3 linked regions of the Caenorhabditis elegans genome follow. The protein of the gene in region 2 interacts with the protein of the main gene of each other region in a pairwise test. Each region holds a gene or a part of one and is shown on either strand. Other genes may lie near its edges.

Evidence for each region.
Region 1: the proteins of par-6 (region 2) and dnc-2 interact in a two-hybrid assay, tested with the Caenorhabditis elegans proteins (3 studies listed by BioGRID, with this or other methods).
Region 3: the proteins of par-6 (region 2) and unc-95 interact in binary tests that used the Caenorhabditis elegans proteins (3 or more experiments, as listed by UniProt).

Annotation. Positions count from the first base shown.
Region 1 is NC_003281.10:5,923,893-5,927,457, forward strand, and holds dnc-2 (putative dynactin subunit 2), read right to left. Parts: upstream 1,863-3,565; 5' UTR 1,840-1,862; coding exon 1,732-1,839; intron 1,675-1,731; coding exon 1,608-1,674; intron 1,563-1,607; coding exon 1,148-1,562; intron 1,098-1,147; coding exon 770-1,097; intron 714-769; coding exon 636-713; 3' UTR 506-635; downstream 1-505. Other genes in the region: C28H8.2 (uncharacterized protein), read left to right, coding at 38-406, 452-505; bcl-7 (BCL7-like protein), read left to right, coding at 2,194-2,259, 2,307-2,397, 2,620-2,903; zmp-1 (Matrix metalloproteinase-A), read right to left, coding at 3,134-3,488.
Region 2 is NC_003279.8:12,667,812-12,674,995, reverse strand, and holds par-6 (Partitioning defective protein 6), read right to left. Parts: upstream 5,617-7,184; 5' UTR 5,539-5,616; intron 5,371-5,538; coding exon 5,237-5,370; intron 4,705-5,236; coding exon 4,611-4,704; intron 3,681-4,610; coding exon 3,489-3,680; intron 2,742-3,488; exon of another isoform or gene 2,676-2,741; intron 2,640-2,675; coding exon 2,542-2,639; intron 2,473-2,541; coding exon 2,352-2,472; intron 2,302-2,351; coding exon 2,208-2,301; intron 1,148-2,207; coding exon 951-1,147; 3' UTR 549-950; downstream 1-548. Other genes in the region: T26E3.4 (RWD domain-containing protein), read right to left, coding at 6,262-6,318, 7,032-7,135. UniProt on the Caenorhabditis elegans protein: Necessary for apicobasal and anterior-posterior asymmetries associated with cell adhesion and gastrulation during the first few cell cycles of embryogenesis. Required for localizing/ maintaining par-3 at the cell periphery.
Region 3 is NC_003279.8:14,380,859-14,386,734, forward strand, and holds unc-95 (LIM domain-containing protein unc-95), read right to left. Parts: upstream 3,880-5,876; coding exon 3,657-3,879; intron 2,529-3,656; exon of another isoform or gene 2,441-2,528; intron 2,187-2,440; coding exon 2,098-2,186; intron 2,048-2,097; coding exon 1,900-2,047; intron 1,240-1,899; coding exon 1,051-1,239; intron 1,001-1,050; coding exon 597-1,000; 3' UTR 502-596; downstream 1-501. UniProt on the Caenorhabditis elegans protein: Required for the assembly and integrity of muscle dense bodies, which establish the adhesion sites of the muscle cells to the extracellular matrix.

The DNA.
Region 1 (3,565 bases), on a different chromosome or scaffold from region 2:
TTGAGTTTTCATGTCGGGACCAACCGAAATATTTCAGAACTTTATCAGTGACCCACGATCAATGTTCCCGAAGATGGTGAGAACTAAAAATGCTTTTCACTTCTTGCAATATTTCATGGGAACTTTTCGACGAATGTTCCGAAATAAAACAGAAATGATTGAGCATTTCAATTATTATGATGATCAAGTAAAAGGAACTGATTGTCATATTCAAGAGGAATTGGATTTTGCCAGATTTAAATCATATTTCGATAGATATACAAGAACTCATTACAATCCTGAAATTCGTATTATCTTTGCAATAATGACTAAAGATTCTTCTCATATGACGGTTGAATTCCATGTTACATCACAATCTTGGTTTGGATTCGAAGATCATTTTCATATGATTATCAGAGCGGTTAATGTGAGTTTTCGCGAAAAATCTGACTTAGAAATATGAAAATTTCAGGACGAGAATGTCGGATGGGGAGTTCGTTATCTGAGTATGGCCTTCAATTGCTGAATAGAGATTGGTTCATTCGGAAATATGGAAAGCAAAAATAAAGCACATAAATATATCGAACAGATTAGTTAATGTTGCATTGTCCGTACACAATAAATTATGAATTGTTTCTCTAGAAAGGTCGATAAAATCACTTCAAATCTGCCACTTTTGCCTCGAGAAGCTTCAGCTTTTCAACCACTGACCCGATTTCTTGCTTTCCTTGGGACTGTAATTTCAATAATTTAATTTGTTTATATTCCTCGAAACAATTAAAAAACACACCTCATACTCGATAATCGCTTCTCTTCCTTGCGCGACTTCCTTTTCGAGTTTTTCTCTGATAGTTTTCAAATGTGATAGTCCACCGGCAAAGTGTTGAACTTGTTCGTGAAGACGGTTCAATGCTTTAACCTTATTAACATTGCTTGGAAGAGATGAGCAAGCGACATCCCATTTTTGCATAAGCTCCAGAATTTCATCAACTTTCTTGTCAAGATTCTCGTCGATATCATTGTTGGCGCGTGTCTCGTCGATTTTTTCAAGTTTGGTAAGCATCATATTCAAACGTTGTTCAAGACCGGAGACATACGAATGATTAAGCGTTTCGCATCTCAAACATTTTTCATACGTTTTTATTTTTTTAAATTTAAGATATCTCACCTGAGTTTGAGATCTTCAATGGTGTCAAGTACGGGAGCTGATGGAATAACCGAACTTCCAATAACTTGTTCGATTCTTCTCAACCTATTTTCAAGAGTTGCCACTTTCGAGTCAGTGCGAACATTTGGTAACTCAACATCATGCTCAACTCGTGCAGTTTTTCCATTTGACTGAGCCACTTGCAACGTTTTCACTTCTTTCTCTAGATTCTCAAGAACCTCAGCGTTGAGCAAATCCGTTTTAAGATTTTCATCAGCACGAATTTGTTCATTCAGATCGGCGACTTCGTACAAAATGCGATTCAGTTTTTCGGCTGCAGTCTCGGTTCCCGAAAATCCTGCACCAGTAACTTCCAATACGTATTGATTGTTTCCAAATGCGTGTCGCCGCTTTTTAGCAATCGAGTCAGAAAAATCTAAATTTAAAAAAAAGATGATAAGTAATATTATTTTAAAATTACCGCTTGAAGTCAAGTTCAGTACCCGGTTTTTGTACTTTTTGAGAGCTTCGTCAACGTCAACCGAAATCTGTAAAAATCAGAATTCACTAAATATTTATATTATTTAAATTAATTAAATACAAACCAGTTCGATATCCGGATGAGTTGGATTGTCATTTTCAGGTTCACTTTTTTGAACTTGACTTGCAGCTCCGTCAGACTCGTAGATATCTTCTTTTCCAATAGATGACATTTTGACGCAAGATTTGAGAGTTTCTAGAAAACAGAATTTGATTTAAAATATTTAGGATCAAACGGCAAAAATTTAGAAAAATGAATAAACAAAATGTATGATAGGTTAAAGTAATAAATCGTGCTAGAAACATCAAAATGGCCGTGGAATTGATTGCGAAACAAGTAAATTAGATTGTCCGAGAGGACTACACACAACAATGAGTTACTGCGCTCTACCGGCACGTATTAGAGATTAGAGGCGACAGAGTTCAGTTTTGGCAAAAACGTTCGATTGTTCGAATTTAAACAGTTTTATTGTATTTCGTTCTTTTTATTTATTTTTCTGTAAATTTATTAAATTTTTAAGTTTCAGATGTACTCAGCAAATAGATCTCATCGCGCTGAAACAAGAAATCGCTCAAAAGATGAACTCCGAAAGGTAAACAATCAACTTTTCCAAAACTAAACTGATATTAAGATTTTCAGGTTATCAACTCATTGGAAAAAGTTCGTCGGTGGGAAAAGAAGTTAGTTCTTATCAAGGACACAAATATTCGGATCTACAAATGGGTTCCGGGTAATTTTTTATTTTAACACGTATTTCGGTATTTAGAAACTATTTATATATAAATTTATATGAAATACTTTTTTAAAATAGTAATTATTAAAAAAAAAACTTCACACTTATATTTTTGATACAATTCAATGACTCTGCATTATGAATTAATAACATATTCTGCTATATAAAAGTTTTGAATTTCTCAAAAAAAAAACCAAACTTTCAATACAACTTTTTCAGTGAGCGCTCAAAACATAATGGCTCCTCCAAAGATCAAGGAAGTCAAAGAAGTGGATGAGGAGAGCAATCAAGTCCCATCTGCTGAGAATTCCCAGGATTCCACCAGCGTTACCCAACCACCACCACAATTCGATATCAACGAAGATTCCAATTTTTCCACTGGCGATCACTTTGATAGTGACTCCAATCAAACTTTCGAGCCACAAAACTATCAAGGTGGAGCCACTGGTTCAACGGATTTCAGTTCGATGCGCGACGCTGAAATGACATCAAAACAACCATAAAATCTTTATCTAATGATCTCTAATCTGTACTCATTTTGATTTCATGTTGTATCATATAATCCTGATTCATTCCGAACTTTATCTCATTAATTCAAAAATTTTCATGTTTCATCACATTTATTTTTAATAATTTTTTGTATTCACCAGTTAAAATAACAAGTTAAAACTTTAAATAAAACCCATTTCAGTGCTGTTTTTACAAGTGAATCTGCCATTGAGAGATTTAAATCTTAAAAGATGAGTATCAAAATAGTAATTGTTGCATAGATCAAAGAAAAATGTGAAGAAGAAGAATTCAGAACAAGCTTCTCATTGCGAGGGCAGAATCCGAAAAAAGATTGTAAAGGTTGGGGATATCCATCAGCAATATCAAATACAGATCGGGATGAATTCATTCGAAAAACTTGATTTCCACGTAGAAGATGAATTTCTTTTTCATAAGTGAAGGCAGAATGTACTCCTTTTGGAACTCTCGCCCAATTCAGATCAGTATCTTTTGGATACCTTTCATCAACTCTTCGATGATACATTTTCTCGTCTAATTTCCAATATCGAGATCCTTTCCAAATGTATACAGCAGGCGGACTGAAATGGAAATTATATTTGATTTTATTAAGTTGTGGTCCTGAACGAACCTTTTCAGCTACCGTACCCTCAGAGTA
Region 2 (7,184 bases):
CTCATTCTTGTAGGAAATCAACTGAAACTTCAGATTTGCACAGATTTTATAACATTAAATCATCAAAAAATCACTCAAAGGTAACATTTTATTACAGACTTTTCATTACTGGGCACTTTTCAAAAATGCTGTACAAATGGCGCAGTGGGATTTTCGACGAAAAAGCTTCCAGTCAAAGGACCGTGGTTCGAGTCTCCACTGTGGCAAACTTTTTTCCATAGTGTTGTTAGGCTAAACTTTCAATTCTCAACCCAAAAATTATAATATCAATTCCTAAACAGCAGAGAAAAACCTTGAAAAATAAGAATTTGAGAATAATCAGCGGAATATCGGCTGAAAATGTAGATTTTCTCAGTTTTTAAAGCCTTAAATCGTCAAGAACTCAATAAAATTCAAATTTACCCGAAATTATGTCATTTCTGGGAAATTGTCAAAAATGTCCAAATGGAGCAGTGGGATTTTCGACGAAAAAGCTTCCAGTCAAAAGGCCATGGTTCGAGTCCCCGTAATGGCAACATTTTTTTCACAATGCTGATCTCTCAAAGCTTGAAATAAATAATTTATTCTCACTAATAATGTGAATTTCAGGGGAAAAATTGTATGTCGTGTCTGTTGTCAAAAAATTTGAGCCAAAGTTCGAAAAAAAAAGTATGGGCTCAGAGAGCTCTGAAGGGGAAAAATCACATAAAAAGGGCGAAAGGAAGGCACATTTTGGGGCGAGAAACGGGGGAAATAAAAGTGAAAATTGTGCGCAAAAAAGTGAAGAGAAAGCCGACAAATTTGATTAAAAATTAGGAGAAAAAGGGGAAAATAAATAAATTAAGCGGTTTTGGTTGTGTGTGTGTGTGGTTTTAGCGAGAATATAAATAATATAATTATGTATAAAAATGGTCACATTTTGTGGTTTTTTTTTCTGAAAAAATCGAGGAAAAATGGCTGAAAAGAGTTTTTCAGTCCTCTCCACTGTCCGAATCATTTGCGTCGTGCTGTTTCGGATGATAACTGCCGTCGGAGCTTCCGTTCATTTTCATCGGGCGCTGAATTCCACCTGTAGCGGCTGCGGTGGCGGCCGACATCTCACTGGCGTTCGGTGTTCCTTGTTGTGACGGTCCTCGTGACAGTGTGTTTCGTTGGTTGGCAGGTTTTACTGGAAAATATTGGGATTTTTTGAATTTTCAAAAAAAAAATAAATTTGAAATTTTTTTTTCGAAAAAAAATTTCTGAAAATTTTGTTTTTTATAATTACTACAGAATTTAAAATCAGCTCGCTGAGAGCTTCCAAACAAGTATAATCATGACTAGGCTATGTTTATTTTGAACATTTTCCGAAATTTTGGGTCCCGCCACGAAAACTGGGTTACTGTAGGTTGGGATTTTAGTGGGGGACCCAGTTTTCGCGATTTCATTTAGATTTTTCGATTTCAGCTTACCGAGCTTTCAAATAAGTATAATTATGACTAGGTTGGCGGACATTTAAAATTTTCCAAAATGTTGGGTCCCACCGCGAAAGCCAATTTCGTGGTCGTGCCCCAAAATTGAAATTTTAGATTTTTGTTAAATAATTCAACTTCCGCTCGCCTAGAGCTTTAAAATAAACATAATCAAGACTAGGTTATGCGAAATTTTAAATTTTCGGACCCCACCACGAAAACTGGGTTACTGTAGGCAGCGATTTTCGTGGTGATACCCAATTTTCGCTATTTCAATTAGATTTTTCGATTTCATCTTACCAAGAGCTTCAAAACTAGTATAATAATGACTAGGTTTGGCGAAAATCTAATTTTTTCCAAAATTTTGGGTCTCATCGCGAAAATCAGTTTCGTGGTCGGGCCCAAAAATTGAAACTTCTCAAATTTTTTAGTAAATTCGTTTTCAGCTCATCAAGGGCTTTCAAATAAGTATAAACACGACAAGATTGCGTCACATGCGAAAATTTTGGGTCCCATCGCGAAAATGGGTTACTGTAGTTTATCATTTTCTTGGCGAGACCCGAATTTTCCAAGTTTGACAGAATATAGCCATGATTATACGCATTTGAAAGCTCTCGGTGTGCTGAATTCAAATTTTCTAATGAAATTTTTTAAAAAGTGGGTTCTCGCAATTTTCGCGGTGAGACCCAATTTTTTTCAAAATAATCTTAACCTAGTCATGATTATACTTATTTCAAAGCTCTCGGCGTGCTGAATTCAAATTTCCGGATTATATACCAGTAATAATCAAGTTATGAGCATTGGCGACCATCATATCAGTGACCTGATCCAGCGTCTTTCCGAGAACCTCAATTCCATTCACCTCGAGCACCTGAAAACCGGAATTTTTAGATTAAAAACTCTGAAAATTCCATTAAAAACCTCGTCATTAACACCAAGAAGGCCTGTGGACTCGGCGAGCCCACCATCGACAAGCCGGGAAATGAAAATTCCTGAAACTTTGACGACGCCTCGTTCTGTCACTCGAACCGATGTTCCGTCACTGAAAAAAGAATTGCAGATTTTTGGGATTTTCTGGCAAGAAATCTGAAATTTCCAGAAAAATCGATACCGAATATAGAATCCAAGTGGTCGTTCTTGTCCGTGCTTGCAGAGACGGACACGGCGATGAGCTTCTGGCACAATGTCCACGTCGATGATTGCAGAGACCTGCAAAATTGAAAATTTTTAAAAATTAATGGGAAATTTGAATTCAGCTCGTTAAGGGCTTCAAAATAAGTATAATCATGACTAGGTTTTGCCAATTTTGAAAATTCTCCTAAAATTTGGGTCCCGCCACGAAAAGTGACGAAATTTTAGAAAATTACTGCGAAATCTGAATTCAGCTCACTGGGAGCTTTCAAACAAGTATAATGGAATGACTAGGTTCCGCGAACTTTGAAAATTGTTGGTCTCGCCACGAAAATGGGATTACTGTATGTTGGCATTTTCGTGGTGGTGGGATCCAATTTTTGAGATTTTTATCAATATTTTTGAATTGGGAGCACTGTCAGCTTTAAAACTAGTATAATCATGGGTTCCGTTAACTTTGAAATATGCGGGTCCCACCGCGAAATTGGGGTTACTGTAGGTTGGCACTTTCGTGGCGGGACCAGATTTTTGCAATTTCATGAGTTCAACCGAATTCAGCTCACCGAGAGCTTTCAAATAAGTATAATCATGACTGGGCTCCGGAAAATTTGAAGATTTCCAAAATTTTGGGTCCCGCAGCGAAAATTTCCTTCGTGGTGGGACCAAAAATTGAAATTTTCAAAATTTTTTCCGGAATTTGAATTCAACTCATCAATAGCTTTCAAATAAGTATAATCATGACTAGGTTCTGCGAAATTTGAAATTTTTGGGTCCCATCACGAAACGGGATTACTGTGGTTTCGATTTTTCGTGGCGAGACCCAACTTTTTTCAAATCCATCGTAACCCGGTCATGATTATACTTATTTCGAAGCTCTCAGCGAGCTGAATTCAAAAATTCCACTTTTTTCGCTGTGAGACCCATTACCTGTCGAAAATCTTCGGGATTCGAGATTGAATAACTGCGTTTCGGTGGTTTTTGTGCCATAAGTGATGAAATTCCCTTCCATCGTTTATCAGAGTCTGTACCATAACCATATTTCTCTTCCCATGATTCACCGCGGCGTTGAATGAGCAAACGGAGCAGTGGGCGAGCCGATTCGAACGATTTTCGGAGGTTCTGCAAAAAAAATAATGGTAGTTTTGGGATTTTATCGATTTTTGGGATTTTTCTAGGAATTTATCGATTCTTTTTGTGATTTTTATTGATTTTTTGGGGATTTTTTACCGAATTTTTGTGATTTTTCAACAGATTTTTATCGATTTTTTATCGATTTTTTCCGATTTCTTGGGGTTTTGTATTGATTTTTTAAAGCGATTTTTGAGTTTTTTTGTAATTTTTTATCGATTCTTTTTGTGATTTTTATTGATTTTTTGGGGATTTTTCACCGAATTTTTGTGATTTTTGTTTCAATTTTTTGAGACTTTTTTCGATTTTTTTAAATCAATTTTTTGTAGTTTAGGACTTTTTATCGATTTTTTAAGATGTTTAGTGATTTTTTAGCGAAATTTTGTGATTTTTATCGATAAGTGATGTTTTAGTAATTTTCAGCATTTTTTAGTGAAAAATATCAATTTTAGGTCATTTTTACTCGATTTTTCTCGATTTTTTCACCGAAAAAATCAATTTTCTTCAGTTTTCCCTACTAACATTCAGATTTTTATAGACTTTTTATCGATTTTTATCGATTTTTTTTTGAGATTTTTATCGATTTTTTGAGTTTTTAAATCAATTTTTAATTGATTTTTTGTGATTTTTTTCGACTTTTCTGTGAGTTTTCAAATCGATCGATTTTTTGTCCTCGTAGGAGACACCCGAATATTAAATCGATTTTTTTATTATTATTATTTTTATTTTTTAACGATTTTTGAGCTGTTTTAAAAATCGATTTTGACTAACTTTAAGCTGAAAAAATCAATTTTCGAGACATTTTAATTGAATTTTTAGCATTTTTTAGTGAAAAATATCAATTTTATGTCATTTTTACTCGATTTTTTCGTTTTTTTTTTCACTGAAAAAATCAATTTTCTTCAGTTTTCCGCTACTAACATCGTCATTTGTGATTGGTAGAAGATCACCGCCAGTCGAGTTGTAGCACAGTGTGAATTGGACACTTTCCAGGTGATGAAGCTTCTCGACAAGGCTGAAAATATCGATTTTTACTTGAAAAATTGAACTTTTACGGGAAAATTGCTTCAAAAATCGAGTTTTCAGGTAAAATATCATTTTCCGCTCGTTTTTGGTAAAAAAAAACACAAAAAAAAAGACGAATTTTTCGATTTTCCGGCTGAAAATGGCGAAAATTCGATTTACGCATGATTTTAGCCCTAAAAATGCCGATTTTGGCCAAGTTTGGTTTGGAAAATAGATTTTTTAGGGTTTTCAAGGTAAAAATCGGAAAAAATCTGATTTTTTCAAGTAAAAAAAATCATTTTCCGCGTATTTTAGGACAAAAAACGCCGAATCCTTGGATTTTTCAGCTGAAAATCGTTGAAAATCCGATTTTCTGAATTTTAAGGGATTTTATGCCTAAAAATGACAATTTCAGTAACTTTTGGGTAGAGAAATCAATTTTTAACGTTTTTCTACGTCAAAAACATGGGTTTTGACGTATTTTAGGTAAAAAAAAAACGCTGAATTTTTCGATTTTTCGGCTAAAAATGGCCAAAAATCACCTCCGGAACCCATCGTAAGAGACACCAGACGCAGAATGCATTGGTATTGAGAAACGACGCCATTCAGAATCAAATTTCGATTTGACTTGAAGTGTTGAATGATGATTTTGATGGTAGGAGCCGTTGTAGGACATCTGAAAATTTGGATTTTTCGGGTTTTTTGAGCTGAAAAACGCGATTTTTAACAGTTTTCAGCTGGAAAATTGGAAATTCCGGCTTTTTTTGAGTAGAAAAATCGCATTTTTCGACGTTTTCCATACTTTTAAGCTGAAAAATTATGATTTTCGCAAATTAAAACTCACAATTACAAGTTACAGGTGCAGCTCCGCGTTGAGCCGGAAATAATGCACAATTTTCGTGGGAAATATCGATTTTTTCGGCTGAAAATTGGATTTTTTCACATTTTTGAACCTTTTTTAAGTGAAAAAATTATTAAGTGAATAATTTTTGAATTTATTAATCAAAAATCGGATTTTAAATAATTATTCAATGGAAAAAATTGAATTTTAATTTAAAAGTTAGAGTTTTGAACAGTTTTCAACGGAAAAAAAAACTGAATTTGAGTTGGAAAATAGACATTTTTAGGAAATTTGAGTAGAAAAATTGAATAAAAATTCCAAAAAATGGCAATTTTGAACATTTTTCTAGCGGAAAATGAAATTTCAAGCTAAAAATCGCATTTTTTGCGATTTTTACAAAAAAAACCTTCAAAACACCAAATTTCCGCTGAAAATTGAGTAAAAATGAGTCACAAAACTCTCCAAAAAAGTTTGATAAAAACTGATGACTCATCGCCAAAAATTTTCAATAAAAAATCGATAAAAAAGCTGATAAAAACAGCGAAAAATTCAAAAAAAAAGGTTAAAACTAAAACAAATCTTTACGCAAAAAAATGGAAAAAATTGAAACGAAAAACCGTGAAAATCAACAAAAACTGGGGGGCAAAAAAATGGATAAATTACGGGATTTTTCGCCGAAAAAATGGCGAAAAATCACAGAAAAATGCAATAAATTGAGGGGAAATCCTATTCTTCATCGTCTTCTTCTTCTTCTTCGGAATCCATTTCAAGACCTTCGAGTTCCTGGAAAAAATGGGTTTTTTTGAGTGGAAATTTGAGATTTTTTGGGGTTTTTTAGGCTAAAAAATGGGATTTTTGGAGGTTTTTTATGTTGAAAATCGGAAAATTTGATCATTTTAGGCAGTAAAATCGAATTTTCATCTTGAAATTAATCAATTTTATGAGAAAAACTCGAAATTTCGAACAATTTTTGGAATAAAATTGCAATTTTTCGCGTTTTCAAGTAGCTTTTCACTGAAAAATGTGGGAATTTTGGCGTTTTTTCCATAGAAAATCGGAATTTTAGTGAGAAAATTTCAATTTTTTGATAGAAAATATGAAGTTTATCACAAAAAATTCACTTTTAAAGTGGAAAATCGTGAATTTTCAGCCAAAAATGCCAAATTTTGTAAATTTTGAAGCTTTTTCTTCGGAAAAATCCAGATTTTTTGCATTTTTTTTAGCTCAAAAACAGAGTTTTCCATGGAAAAATAAATTTTGAGTAAAAAATGTCTAATTTTTCAGTGAAAAAATGGGGATTTTAGCGAATTTTTACATTTTTCCAGGTTTTAAAAGGGAACGTTTCAAAAAAGAAAAAAAAATTTTCGGATTTTCACCGAAAAAAACTCGAAAATCGACAATTTCCAATGAATTTGCATGTTTTTCATGCAATTTTTTAATAGAAAATCGTAAATTTTCAGTAAAAAATCGATTTTTCAGTGGTTTTTTCCAGAAACCTCATTATCAAAGAGGCTCTCATCAATTTCGACTTCATCTTGTGCTCCAATAAGTGTGACGTCAGAGAGATTGAGTGTAGCGTCACGAAGGAATAGTTGACGTCCTGGAAAATATTGGTTTTTTTTGAAATTTTCAGCGATTTTCAGACGGAA
Region 3 (5,876 bases), 1.7 Mb from region 2:
ATTTAATATACACTGCTGTAGGTCTTTAATATCGTTATAAATTTTAATATACGCTATAGGTTCTTAATATACACTTTAGGTATTTTATATTCGCTATAGGTTTTTAATATACACTATAGGTATTTATATTTGCTATAGTTCTTTAATATACGCTATACATAAGTATTTAATATACACTGTAAGTTCTAAATACCCCCATAGGTTCATAATATACGCCATAGATCTTTAATATCGTTATGAATTTTAATATACGCTATAAGTTTTTAACATTGCTATTGGTATTTAATATAAGCTATACATATGTTTCAATATCGACATAGTAGGTATTTAAAATACGCTTGCTCGCTTTAGAGTGCCTAGCTCAATTTTCCACATAGTTCAGATCAGTTAAGAGAACTATAACCTTTACTATTTTAACACATAGTTTGCAAGAATTCAATGAATTTTGATGGTTTTCCCCATTATTTCACACACATGAATCTGAATTTAAGAAAATCTTTGATTATTATTAGGATTTTTTTCATAATTCGTGTATATTTTGCAAGATAACAGATAAACACACATATATATCATTACTAAACAAAATGTGTAGTGATTTAAATGAGTTTCTCAATGGAAGCTTGATGATCATCCGGAGCGTATTGCAATCCATTATACAACTTGTAGAAGCAATCATGACAATATGGCTTCAGATCATGTTCTCTGTAGGTTCCATGCATGTTGAGTGCCTTCTGACAATATGTGCACATGAAATGATAGGTATGGAATTTCTGTGCCCGTTCCGAGTTTGGCGCCAACGCTGTCAGAATCGCGCCGTCGATTTCTTCACTGCAGTAAGCGCAGACTGCGGCGGCCGGTGGCGGTGGGGAGCCGGAGATGTGGAGCGTTCGGCGGGGAGTTGTGCTTCGGGCGCGGCGGCGGCGCAGGCTATCGGTCTCCTCGGACATTTGGACTCCGTATTGGCGGGAGTAGTCGTCTGTCTCCATATTGTCGTCCTCTGCTGGAATTTTTCGAATTCTACATTTTTTGGTCCAAGTTCTGAAAACTCACGAATCTTTGGCCTCTGCGGGATTTGTTCCTCTGGTGCCGGTGTAAGTCTCAAGGTGTACTCGATTTCCTCCTTCTTCTTCTTATTTCCATCTTCACCGTCACGTCCACGTTGTCCACGACGCAAAACTTCAGTCGTGGCGTTGACATCGTAAACAAGGGCCGCCAATGTGTCGGTCACCGCGTTTTGTCCTGAAAATGGATTCGGTGAAAGTTAAGAACAGACCTGAAGCTGGGGGAGGAGGTCCAGTTGGGCCCTAAAGCTATTGTTGGAGGTCTAGGTAAGGTCTGAATTAGGCTTGAAGCTTAGAAAGGGTTAGGGAGGGTCTATATGAGATCTGATGCTTAGGAAGGGCATAGAGGGGCCTGAAGCTTGATATGGGGCCTAGATGGGATCAGGGGCTTAGGATAGGACTTGAATGAGGACTGAAGCATAATACGGAGCCTAGGTAAGATCGAAGGTTTTGGATAGACCTAGCTGGAATCTAGAGCTCAGAATATGGTCTAGAGGGGCCTGAAGCCAAGGACAACGTCTAAATGAGTCAAAGGCTCAGAATGGGGGAGAAGTGGTTCTGATGCTTAGGATAGGGCATATGTTGGATCTGATGCTTAGGAAGGGCCTTGACGGGACTGAAGCTAAAATGGCTTCTGAAGCTTACATGGGGTCTAGGTGGAGTCTGAGGCCTAGCATAGGCTTTGGATAATGTCTGAAGCATAATACGGAGTCTAAATATGATCGAATGCTATGGATAGACCTAGCTGGAATCTAGATGTGCCCTAAAGCCTAGAAAGAATTATGTAGCAGATTATAGATGCGATCTGAACCTATTAAGGGTTCTAACGAGATCTTACTCTGATCCTGTTTCAGCTTGACAAGCTGCTGATTCATGTCATCCGAGCTAACAGCTTTCAACCTTGCGGCCAGCCAATCGTCGGTCGGATCAATCGAGATTCTACCATTGACTTCCATCTCGGTTTGGAATTGACGACGTTCCATTCTCTGAAACAAATTTCAATGTATTCCCGCACAAGATCTGAAAAAATCGATACCATCTGTTCTTGTTTGCGACGAATGATCTCGGTCGTCTGCTCGACATCGTTTTTCAACGCGGTAAGTGTTCCATTAACGATCTCGTCTTCTGCAAAATGTAAGGGATAGAGACAGAGAGATTTTGATGATCTGAGAGGTTTGTTGCTTAAAAATGTGCACCACTTTTTTTTTGGGTATTTCCTTAAAAAACGGCTGCATAAGAAAGTTGGAAATGACTCTTTTATAAGCAAATTTTGAATAAAATCTGATGTTGAGAATCAAAATTTAGCTGAAAATCCGAAATTCCTGTGGGAAGGTCTAGCTAAAAAATGGCACGGAAATAAGAAAATTAGGTATAGAAATTAAGCCTAAGCCTAAGCCTGAGCCTAATCCGAAGTCAAAGCCTAAGCCTAAGCCTAAACCGAAGTCAAAGCCTAAGCCTAAGCCTAAACCTAATGCTTAACTGCTCAAAACTAGCAAATTAATAGGGACCGTTTTTGATCCAAATCGTACAATTTTTGGTCAAAATCCAACTTTTCTGATCAAAATCGGAATTGGACTATTTTCAATCAAAACTGGACTATTTTCGGTCAAAATCCGACCTTTTTAAGCCAAAAATGATAGATTTTTGGGCGAATTTTGGACAATTTTTGGTCTAAATCCGACTGTTTTCAGTCAAAATTGGTCAAAAACGTGCAATTTTTGTCAAAATCGGACTACTTTTTGGTCAAAATCAGATAATTTTTGGAGAAAATCGGTCAATTTTTGGTCAAAATCAGACAATTTTTGGTGAAAATCGGTCAATTTTTGGTTAAAATCGGTCAATTTTTGGTTAAAATCGGTCAATTTTTGGTTAAAATCGGTCAATTTTTAGTTCAAATCCGGCTTTTTTTTGTTAAAAATCGGTAAATTTTTGGTCAAAATTGGACCATTTTGGTCAAATTCAAACCATTTATTGGTAAAAACATAACAATTGTTTGGTCAAAATTAGATAATTTGTGATCGGAATGAAACCATTTTTTTGGTTAAAATTGGACTATTTTCAATCAAAACTGGACTATTTTCGGTCAAAATCCGACCTTTTTAAGCCAAAAATGATAGATTTTTGGGCGAATTTTGGACAATTTTTGGTCTAAATCCGACTGTTTTCAGTCAAAATTGGACCATTTTGGTCAAATTCAAACCATTTATTGGTAAAAACATAACAATTGTTTGGTCAAAATTAGATAATTTGTGATCGAAATGAAACCATTTTTTGGTTAAAATTGGTCTATTTTCAATCAAAACTGGACTATTTTCGGTCAAAATCCGACCTTTTTAAACCAAAAATGATAGATTTTTGGGCGAATTTTGGACAATTTTTGGTCTAAATCCGACTGTTTTCAGTCAAAATTGGACCATTTTTGGGTAAAATCCAATCATTTTCTGTTAATTTTGACATTCTAGTATAGTTAACACAAAATTTTGTTATTTTCAAAGTTAATTGAGTATTACACCTCAATTCTTTAGTTTAACATTTCCCATTAGTTTAACATACCCCCCCCCCCCCCCCCCAGAGGACCCCCTAACTTCGACTCACGTTGACTAAACTCCTCATCATTACGGAACACCTTATCCTTATTGGAATTCCTGCTCTCACTACGCCACCGGGCCACGTGGCGCTCCACAGGATCCGGAATCGCAGAGAGCCGACCATCCTGAGACGGGGTCCCGGTGCCATGTCTCTGTTGACTACTACGAGATTCCGTAGTCCATTGATAAGATTCGAATTGTTGATGGCTGGGTTGAGGGGATATAGTCATCTGGAATTTTGAGTAGGAGGAGGAGGTGAACATTTTTGGGTTTTTCTGTGAGACTGAGTAAGAGGTTAATAATGGCATTTTCAATATTTAACTAGTGTGCACCTAAATTCTAGGTGTCTAAATAAAAAAGTATAATACAACAAATAAAGAAAAAAATCGTGTTAGTTCAAATTCGTGTAAAGGAAAACGTAGAGGAAAATCGACACAGCAGTGGTACACTGATGTGTATGAAGGGAGAGGAAAGCAAGAAGCAGCAACAGAAATATATTACAACATATGCTCTCACCGGCAGAAGAGAGCAGGCTACTGCGGGGGCAGAATCTGCCCGGCAGATGATGGTGAGGAGAAGACAATGAGGAATGAGAGATAGAGACGAAGATCGAGGAGTCTACAAAGATCGATTTGTTGAAATTATTTGAATTTTTTGCTCTTTTTTTTTTGAATTTGTTACCGTGAGTTAGGGTATTAACTAGTACCATAATACTATGCACGTATACTATACGGTAATTAAAGGTGGAGTAGCGCCAGTGGGGAAATTATTAAAAACCACTCCTTTGGTCCAAAAATGACCAAATATCATGATAAAACTTTTCAAAAAATTTTTGAAAATTTTTTATTTACTGTCAAAAAGTAGTGACTGTAGTGATTACTCAGTTTTGCCACTCATTATTTTGGAGGTCGATTGATTCAAAAAAAAAAAAAAAAATTTCCAATTTTTTTAATACTTTTTAATACAATTTTGTTTAAATTATTTGAATTAAAACATTGTAGGGGTCGAAACATGCGACATTTTTATAAATTTCCTCAAAATCTCGTAGTTTTCAAAATTTTGGCAATGTGCCAAAACTTTGACCGGAAATTATGGAAAATCTAAAAAATTTTGGAGTGCTTTATTATGATATGTTTGGATTTTTTGGATTTTTTTTCTTATGATATAAGTGTATTTAGACAAAATCCCCAAAAACTGCCAACTGACAAGCAATTTGTTACACGGTCTTATAAATTTTTTAAAACAACATTTGTATATAGCTCAGGGGTGGGCGGTAATAGCAAAAAAAACTGGGCAAATCGGCAAATTTTCGGTTTGCCGAGTTGCCGGACAATTTCAATTTCGGAATTTGCCGGTTTGCCGGAAATTTTCAATTCCGGCAATTTGCGGGTTTGTCCGACTTGCCGGAAATTTTTATTTTCGGCAATTTTCCGGTTTGCCAAGTTTCCAGAATTTTTCATTTTTGGCAAATTGCCGGTTTGCCGAGTTGCCGGAAATTTTCAATTCCGGCAGTTTGCCGATTTGTCGAAAATTTTCAATTTCAGCAAATTGCTGGTTTGCCGATTTGCCGGACAGTTTCAATTTCGGAATTTGCCGAGTTGTCGAAAATGTTCAATTCCGGCAATTTGCCGGTTTGTCCGACTTGCCGGAAATTTTTATTTTCGGCAATATTCCGGTTTGCCAAGTTTCCCGAATTTTTCAATTTCAGCAAATTGCTGGTTTGCCGATTTGCCGGACAGTTTCAATTTCGGAATTTGCCGAGTTGTCGAAAATGTTCAATTCCGGCAAATTGCCGGTTTGTCCGACTTGCCGGAAATTTTTATTTTCGGCAATATTCCGGTTTGCCAAGTTTCCCGAATTTTTCAATTTCAGCAAATTGCTGGTTTGCCGATTTGCCGGACAGTTTCAATTTCGGAATTTGCCGAGTTGTCGAAAATGTTCAATTCCGGCAAATTGCCGGTTTGTCCGACTTGCCGGAAATTTTTATTTTCGGCAATATTCCGGTTTGCCAAGTTTCCCGAATTTTTCAATTTCAGCAAATTGCTGGTTTGCCGATTTGCCGGACAGTTTCAATTTCGGAATTTGCCGAGTTGTCGAAAATGTTCAATTCCGGCAAATTGCCGGTTTGTCCGACTTGCCGGAAATTTTTATTTTCGGCAATATTCCGGTTGGCCAAGTTTCCCGAATTTTTCATTGTCGGCAAATTGCCGGTTTGCCGATTCGCCGG